Tribolium castaneum: one gene and its partner. Each later gene encodes a partner of the first gene's protein in a complex. Links are inferred from orthologs where the notes say so. Each region holds a gene or a part of one and is shown in the gene's direction. Other genes may lie near its edges. The genes, in order: Not10 and Rga.

The links.
Region 2: Not10 (region 1) and Rga share a complex: the UniProt entries of both Drosophila melanogaster proteins name them as parts of the CCR4-NOT complex. The link is inferred for Tribolium castaneum from reciprocal best matches to the Drosophila melanogaster genes Not10 and Rga.

Annotation. Positions count from the first base shown.
Region 1 is NC_087396.1:15,622,321-15,626,723, forward strand, and holds the start of Not10 (CCR4-NOT transcription complex subunit 10), read left to right. Parts: upstream 1-1,339; 5' UTR 1,340-1,486; exon of another isoform or gene 1,487-1,542; 5' UTR 1,543-1,597; coding exon 1,598-1,689; intron 1,690-1,738; coding exon 1,739-1,895; intron 1,896-1,950; coding exon 1,951-2,092; intron 2,093-2,141; coding exon 2,142-2,550; intron 2,551-2,599; coding exon 2,600-2,945; intron 2,946-4,403. Other genes in the region: Rchy1 (RING finger and CHY zinc finger domain-containing protein 1), read right to left, coding at 33-311, 424-579, 628-789, 892-990. UniProt on the Drosophila melanogaster protein: Component of the CCR4-NOT complex which is one of the major cellular mRNA deadenylases and is linked to various cellular processes including bulk mRNA degradation, miRNA-mediated repression, translational repression during translational initiation and general transcription regulation.
Region 2 is NC_087396.1:22,481,478-22,485,815, forward strand, and holds the start of Rga (regulator of gene activity), read left to right. Parts: upstream 1-1,500; 5' UTR 1,501-1,844; coding exon 1,845-1,993; intron 1,994-2,123; coding exon 2,124-2,506; intron 2,507-4,338. Other genes in the region: Fpps (farnesyl pyrophosphate synthase), read left to right, coding at 179-514. UniProt on the Drosophila melanogaster protein: Component of the CCR4-NOT complex which is one of the major cellular mRNA deadenylases and is linked to various cellular processes including bulk mRNA degradation, miRNA-mediated repression, translational repression during translational initiation and general transcription regulation.

The DNA of each region.
Region 1 (4,403 bases):
TTACAACAAGCCATACAATTTTACCATATCACCTTATGACAATCCTTGCATAAAATTTGCACTAAATAACAGTTATACTGTGGCGGCATTGGCGTATGAGCAACTTCATTATCAAGATACTTCCACAACTGGGTCATATCCATAAGGGACGTCTGACATATGGGACAAGCATAATGTCCCGCTTTGAGTAATTGGTTGAAACAAGTGCGGTGTAACAAATGGCCACACATTGGAATATGGCATGGAATTCTGGAAGTATGGATGTCCTCAAGACAGACAGGACAATTGGCGCGCGATACGTTCTCCACACACTGCAAAAACAAGTTCGGATGTCTTACACGGCTGAAATCTAGTCTACACACGCATGCGCAGCGTTTAATTTTGGAATGGTGTTTACATGAGTTTGATATTTTTCACCCTTACTTTATGCCCGTTTTTGAGCTGGATTGGCAGGCACATGTTGCATTTCTCGCAATGGAAAAATTTGTCCGAGCCCCCAATCCTGCAAATGCCACAGCCAGAGCAATGGAACTGGTTCTTGTCTTCATCGTCGAAAAGATTGCACTCCAAGCAAGTGTACTGAAACAGGCGCTTAAATTGCATCAGAATCATTTCCCACGGACTTACTTTGCCAAATCTGATGCCACAGTTCTGACACTCTGCTTGAACAGGCTGCCTTTTCTCGCATATCGTGCAGATTAACTCCGTGACTTCTTTCCTGTTCACTGAGTGATCCTCCTTTTCGTCGTGACAGAACCGACAAGTGTACACTTTCTTGCAGCACGGAGTCTTGAAAAGAAAACACGACGTGATTGAGTCAATAATTGGCGCTAATTCAATTAAACTCAATAAACAACATTGGCCGGACGGTCTGTTCTAGCAAAAACTCACCACGAATTTGGATTTTCTTTTGTAATGGGAGCAGCCAATTGGCTTAATTGCCTCTTCGGGTGGCCCCTCAGCGACCGGAGTAGCTGCCCCTTCCATCATCCGCCGGGATTTGATTAAACGCCGCCGTATGACTGTGCAATTCGAGAAAATCTGTTTCTGGCACTAATTTTAGAAATACGACAGCATACGGAATAAATTAGAGGCGATCTTGAACTAAATAAATAAACGGGTAGGCAACACGGATTGCCTCCCAAATGTCAATTTCATTCAGGGAGAAAAAAACACTAGAATTGTTACTAGCAAATCACATTCGGTTGGCCAACTTGTATGAATTTTTACAGGATTTTTTCAAATTTCTTGCAAAGTTTACACTCATTGATGATCAAATAATTCAGACGACATTTAAAGCCGAAAAACGATCAAATTTTTTCTGTGGTATTTTCGTGTATTCAAAATTTAAATCTTGGACTTCACGAGTCGCCACTGACCTGTCAAAAAATTTTTTTTCGAAAATTTTTTGGAACTAAAGATTTGAATTATTTCACAGAAATATAACAACGAACTTAAACTTCCATTAACGTAAATTTTACGATCCGTAGGTTTTTTACAGTAGTGAAAGTCGGGTTTATTGTTACATAACCTCACTTATAGAAAGCTTGTGAATAAAAAAGTAGTGCCTGTGTTTGCAAAAAATCCAATAAATACAATGGCTGAGAAAGAAGAGTTTGAACGAGCTGTGGACGTTGTAACAGAGCAGGAGCAGGAATATGCACAAAAGGCTTTGAATGAGTTTAAAAAGTATGTTTAAGGCTTCCAAAAAAAACGAAAACTATTGACCCTTTTGTAGAAATAATTACGCCGGTGCGCTCCAATTTATCAATAAACTGGACAATAGAACTAACGATTTTAAAGTGGCCCACAATAAAGCTCTTGTGGAATATTGCAAAAGCGATTTTAGGAAGAACGAAACATTTCAAAAGAATTTAACCTCAATTTGCAATCAAGTATTACAGTCGTCCTCCTGGTGGGAATCTTTTAATAAGGCTCATTAACTTTTAGTTTAAGATTCGTCTCGATAAATTAGATGATGTGGACCAATGCATTGTTCATTATAATCAGGCCATTCTGTTATATCATCAACAACAGTACACTAATGCAATTTACATAATGGATCGAGTGTACAAATTTATTGAACCAATGGGTACAATTTTTCCAACGTGACTGTTTGTTTTTAATTTACTTTGTTACAGATGACGCATTAGCCAAACAAGTTAGTCTTTTTGCCATTGAGTTACAGCTATGTGTGCGTCAGTCTGATAAAGCGCTCAGTTTAATAAATTATCTGGAAAATCAATTAATCAACGGGACGCCAAACATCAAATTGTTGGACAAAACCGTTAAAGAGAAAGACAAGAAAGCGCCACAGCCCCTAGACCCAGCAATGGAAGAGTTTAAGAAAAAACTAATTAAATACAAAATCCGTTGTTACCTAATGAACCACAATCTCGAAATCGCAAACAAAGAAATCAGCAATTTGCTAAAAGACAAACAGAATTTCCAAGCCTTGTTCCTGGCAGCTAATTTAGAATACCTCAAAGGAAACTTGATAGAGTCCCAGAAACTTCTTGCGGCTGTACCACCCGATTATCTGGTCTACAAGTAAAATTCTATATTTTTTTAATATTTTTTTGCATTTGAATTTATTTAGCGACAGCGGCGAATCTTCAACTTTGATGTTTTACAACAATATGGGTGTGATTCATCACGCAATGGGCAAACCCAACTTGGCTTGCCACTACTTTCAGTTAGCCCTCAAGGAGGATATAGCTTTAACAAACAATGCAAAAAAAGACAAAGGCATGGATGACAAACCCTTGTATGCACTGGGTGGCTCAAAATACCACGAATTGATGTATAATTTGGGAGTTTCTCTTCTTCATGCCAAGAGGCCGGTTCAGGCGTTTGATTGCTTGATAATTGCAGTGCGGAGGTACCACAGAAACGCGAGGTTGTGGATGCGCTTAGCTGAGTGTTGTATTATGGCCACTAAAGAGGTAAGGGAATGAAAATTTTTTTTTAGTTTTATGTCTGGTTTCGGAGAATTTGTACGAAATTTCTGATCAAAGTGACCTATGATTAAGTTGGCAACAATAACTATATCGAGAAAGGTGAAAATAATGTATGTTACGTCGACCACAGTTATCGTCTTAATTTTTCTGACTGTTTAACGAGATCTCACAAAAGTCTAAGACGTTGGTTTAAAAGGTCTAAAGACTTGAAGAACGTAAAACAATATTTCGTTAAGCTTTGTTTTATTTTTGAAGAATTTTTGATTGAATGCGAACTAGACTAAATACACAAAAGAAAAATTGCATCTTTTTTTTATACAATAAATCAGTAGGTACCTTCGGGATAAGATATTGGATTAAAAAAAAATGCGAAACATGTTTTTTACTCTGTTTTTTCAAGTTGCAACTACCAAAAGATTCTCTAAATAATTATGAATAATTAATCTTTACATAAATAATAATTGACCAAATAAAATAAGAACAATTAAATTATTTTCATCCCAACTCTCTGACTTGTTGAGTAATTTTTAATAACAGAGTTGTGCGATATTATTGAGTTTTTTCATGAAAAACCTAAACGCAAAAGTGACACTATTCGGCGACTTTTATGCTTATTTTTCACAAACTTTAGCGAAATAATAATTGCGTTTCTACAAAAAAATGTGCAAACAAAGAACTATATTGACAAAATGATGTCATTTTCAGGACGGTTTTATAAAAAACGTCCAATTTTCAGTCCAATTTAGCGAAATGTAATTGATTAATTTAACTGCTCTTACATTTAAAAACTACTTACATGTTTACATGCCGCTTGTCCCCCTTTCGCATTTTAAATTACCTAAGACATTTTCTACAGAGTTTCGTTTTATTTGTTGGATTTTTTAGAATCATTTTCGAAATGTCATACGTCAAATTGAAAAGAGCGCGCGCATGCGCAATGATTTTCAACGAGGATCCCTTTCTTGACTAAAATAAAAGACTTTTCATCTAATATGCATTTGATATTCGTTATTTATTTCCTATCAGTGTCTCAGTTTTGCTTGTTTTTATCTAGCAGATTCTTCAATATTGCACAGAGGGGTAGAATGAATAGAAAAAGTGAGAATGTGCGACAAAGACAGACCCATTATTTTATGAATTAACGTAAAATTAGGCACGTAATTGTAAAATTTGTAAGCATTTTGATTGGGCCGTTTGAGGTCGGCCATCATGGTATTACCGAAAACCAATCACCTTAGATTTTTTGATTCATTCAAAAATTTACTTTTTGAATATCATTGGTCCACTTAAGGTCGGCCATTATAAAAAGTGAACAAGCCAATCACGTTAAATTTTGAGATTGATTCATTTTTTATTGCGAATGGTTAGTTTAATAAATATGAAAGCAGTCAATAAACAACAATAAAAAATGTGCATTTAATCAGGTCTTGCAAATTACAACGG
Region 2 (4,338 bases), about 6.9 Mb from region 1:
TCTTTTTTTGTTGAAGATAAAATGACAAACGACAAAGGCTTGCTTCTAATTTAGCTAGTTTTGGTCTAAAGCAGAAATCAAAATTTTAATTTAACAAAATTGAATAACAGGCGTTATTTTATTTTACAATTTTCTGAGAATTTTTGCGTCGAGAAATCACAGTTCGAATTTTGAACAGGACGATTTCCTGGACTGCTTCGGCGACCCTGAGGTGACGGGCAAGAAGGGCAACGACATCCGCGAGGGCAAGTGCTCCTGGCTGGCTGTGGTGGCCCTCCAAAGGGCCAACCCCACCCAGCGAAAAATAATGGAGGAGTATTACGGCCGTCCCGACCCTGAAGCAGTCCGAATCATCCGAAACCTGTACGAAGAGTTGAGTTTGCCAAACACTTATGCCATCTATGAGGAGGAGAGCTTCAACATCATCCGTACACACATCCAGCAAATTTCCAAAGGACTTCCACACAAGTTGTTTTTCAAAATTATGGAGAAAATTTACCGGAGGGACTGTTAGTAGTGTGTGTGTGAATCAGTATTTTGATTATTTGCAAGATAATTGAGTTAATTTTAAGGTTTATTTTATTGGAATTTATTGCTTTTGATATTTTTTTATTTAGCTGTGCTGAATAAGTGTTTGATTCAGTTGTAATTAAGCTTTAATTCTATTGGGTATTTGGAGTTATCTTGTGAATTTTCGAGTCTTTTTCTGTGTGATATCGTGCAGGCTGGGTTAGTCGATTAGTCGTAGGCCAGTCGGCATTAAGTTAGTCGTATTTGTAAGCTGCACAAGTTTGAAATATTGTCGAATATTAACACACTTGTGTTTTTCCTTTTTTCCTGGTAAGTTTTGTTACCAACCAGAAAAGTCATTCGATTTTTATAAGGTGCATGTCTTTAATCATTGTTACGAAGTAATAATAATAAATATACGTTTATAATAGTGTTTTGTTTTATTTCGCATCAGACGATTCAATATCGTTATACAAATTGTCTTATAATACGATAAGAAGTCAAATTTTGACGTTATAAGTTTCCGAAATCTAATTGTGGATTGTGTTTTCGTTATTTTGATTAAAGTTTCTATAAAAAAAAATCACAAAAAAACAGTGCCATCTATTGGTTACACTTTTGCAAAAATGGTGGATGCGCCGGGTAACAATGGACCTATGATTTTGTTAGTCAAAATTATTGATATCAATGGGCGATCAACATAATAAGATAATAAATAATAGTTAATAACATTTTTATAAGCAAAGTAATTAAATAATGCGAATTATGCAACCAACATTACCGCTTGAATACTTTGACTATACGGAAAACGTTGAATAAGGTAAGTATATTTTTTATTTTTGCTTACGGGGCACGAGAACTTAGTTTTTTGTGTTTTTTATGAAGTGGGTAAAGGTGAAATTAAGTTAGGATCGAGTAATTGAAGGTGTGGGTTATGCAACTAGCATTGGCTGCGGCAATGTCCATCTTTCGGCGGTGGGTCGAAGCCGTGGCTGACAGTTGACACTCTCCATCTTGACATTTCCGACGGTAATGGCGGACCGAACTTGGACAATAACATCTACTTTGTCAAAATTACGCCTTTATTTTGTATAGCGAGAGGTTTTTGGTGTGCTTTTAACCGAGCCTGGAACCGTGCATTCTTCATCAAGTGGTCTCAATAATCTAGTTGAAGCGAAAATCGTGCATTTAAGTTTCGTGTGTTTATGATGTTATTTGTATTTTTTGTGCTGATAATTTAACATAAGAAGTGTGGCGAAGCAAGGAGCGATTTTTTCAGTGTCCTACTGCAGTTCCGTTATGCTAAAAGGTGGCTCGCCCCGCACCAGATAGCTATGGCGAATTTGAACTTTACAAGGAACATAGGAGGTAGCAGCCTCGGAAGATCCAGTGTTAGCTTCGGAAGTAACTCTATGTCTGGTCATGTTACCCCCGTTTTCGGGCAAAGGGCGCCTTCAGACCGGCGGGGAATTCCCGCAATGGGGTAACTATCCTTCCACCGCCATAAGCAGCTCTAGCTGACCTCAATCTGCCGCAGCTAGGGTTTGTTTATGTCAAAAGCGACCATAACCTAAGTGTCAAGCGCAAATGGCAACATTTCTGTTCTGTTGTAGAAATAGTAGCCAAATGGGTAACATGAACTCGTTGGGAGGTTATAGTTCCTTTAATTCTGTGTTTGGCTCAGGAGACACTAACACCCCTTCGTTACTGGATCTTAGTGAATTTCCCTCGTTAACGAATCGAAGTTCGGGTGATAACGTTCCACAGCCGAGCCCCATGCCGGGGGCGAAGCCCTACGTAGGAATGGTCAAGCAGCCCACGTCCGAAGCGAGTGAGTTTACTATGTCGTCAGAGGACTTTCCTGCGTTGCCGGGAACGCAAAATCGGGAGGGCGTATCGCCCGGGGGGAGCACGTCGGGGGAGAAAAACAACACGGGGGGTGGAGGCGACGGCTCCTCCAGTGCCCGGGAGAACGACAAAAACAGCGCGAAATCCGGTGAGTGCCACTTATCTCAGCTAAAATAACATCGATAAGGCGATTGATATTTGTTTTGATAACTGATTTTGCGTTTTATTTTCGAGGAACGCCGTCGATTTTTCCTTATTTTTTACACAAAAACTTTAAACTTGTAAATTAGCCCAAACTGCTTTTTGTTATTCCTAACAGTTTTGATTTTCATTTATTGTGCGAATAATTCGCTGAACAAAGCTTGCAAAGAGTGGATAAAATCTGAAACAATTAAAATGGCAACTGACCCGTAACATAAATGCGTTTTACTTAGAAAGGTGTTAAAAATACCGTGCGTTCAAATAAATAAATAAATTATATTGACCACAATTTTTCTCATAGTTGGGTAAAAAATTATTGGCAACACTAAATTATCGGTGATTTTAGTTGCTAATGTTTATAAAAATTGTTGAAACCCAACCGTGAAAATATTTCCCAAAGGGTGTGTGATAATAACAGGTGTTGCCATGTATTAGGGACAAAAAACTGTTTACTATATGTAAATGTTGGTGTCACTGAATTACGTTGTTATAAATGCATTGATTATAATATAATTATACCGATTTTGCAAGATTTTATTTTGAAGACATTTCCGATAATACAGTGGAATAATCCGATTTTTATTTACGTTTAACGAGCAATTTTTAAACTTGTTTTTGATGAAACGTGTCTGTGCAAATACGTTTTTTTTTTAATTTTTTTTTATAAAACGGTTAATCGACAACTGGTCGAAACACACGCGAGAGATTAGGTAACCAAAATAAATTAAAAAATTGGAGAACCACAAGCATTCGTTGTAAAAGGAAAAAAATGTTTGTAGAGAGTAATTTTCGAAAGTACAGTTAGCTAAGAAATACAGTTGTGTAAATAAATAATGATTTTGATTTATGAAAGTTTAAACAAAAGCGTGTCATTGTTGTGAAACACTGCAAAAACTGTTTTTGTCAGTTCATTTATCCTCAATTTATTAAAATTCCTAAAGGCTTGAGTAACTGATAAAAATAATTGTCAGAAAGATAGAGTATATCAACTGTAAAAACACAGTTGAAAATCCAAAAACAACACTTTTTGTCGTATTTAATGAATTTTTGGCTTGTTTTAACGAAATTTCGCGATATAATTCCTTTTTTGGCTGTAAAACGTATAAAAATGCTCTAAAATAATGTAAATTTTAAGATACATGTGTGTCTTTTCTGCCTGTTTTTGCGAAAACTGTCCGAGGATTTATTTCAAAAAAGTGTTTCAAAACTTAAAAATGTTTTGGCTTATTTATGAAGAAATTTTGCTCAAAATGGAGTGACATAAACAAAGAACAACAATTTCGATATATTTTTGGTAATTTTACGATATTTTTGATATAAATATGTCTCCAGCAGTTCAAGAGTTGAGTAAATCTAGCCAACCAAGCTAAAACAAGATTAATTTCGATCTAATTTGGTTATTTTTAGCAAAAATTTTCGAAAAATAATTGTTCAAAAGACAGAGAAATAACTAAATTACCATTCTTTTTTTATTTATTAAAGATATAAAAAGCTTTATAAAAAAAGTATAGTGATCTATGCGATGTTTTAAATCGTATGTCTTTTTTTGTTTTTGGTTCTTGTTGAAGTACGTGTTTATGGGATATGCATTTTTGAACAATAACATTATGTTTTTTTAACTTTACGAAAAAATTTGCTAATTATGTTTTCATCTTCGTTAATAAACTTTTGGTGAAAATGCCGAAAAAAATTGTTGAAACTACATTTTTTCAAGACTCAAGTCAATAATTCTTCTCTCAAATAAATATATTTTTGAGAACGATTTTTTTGACTATTTTT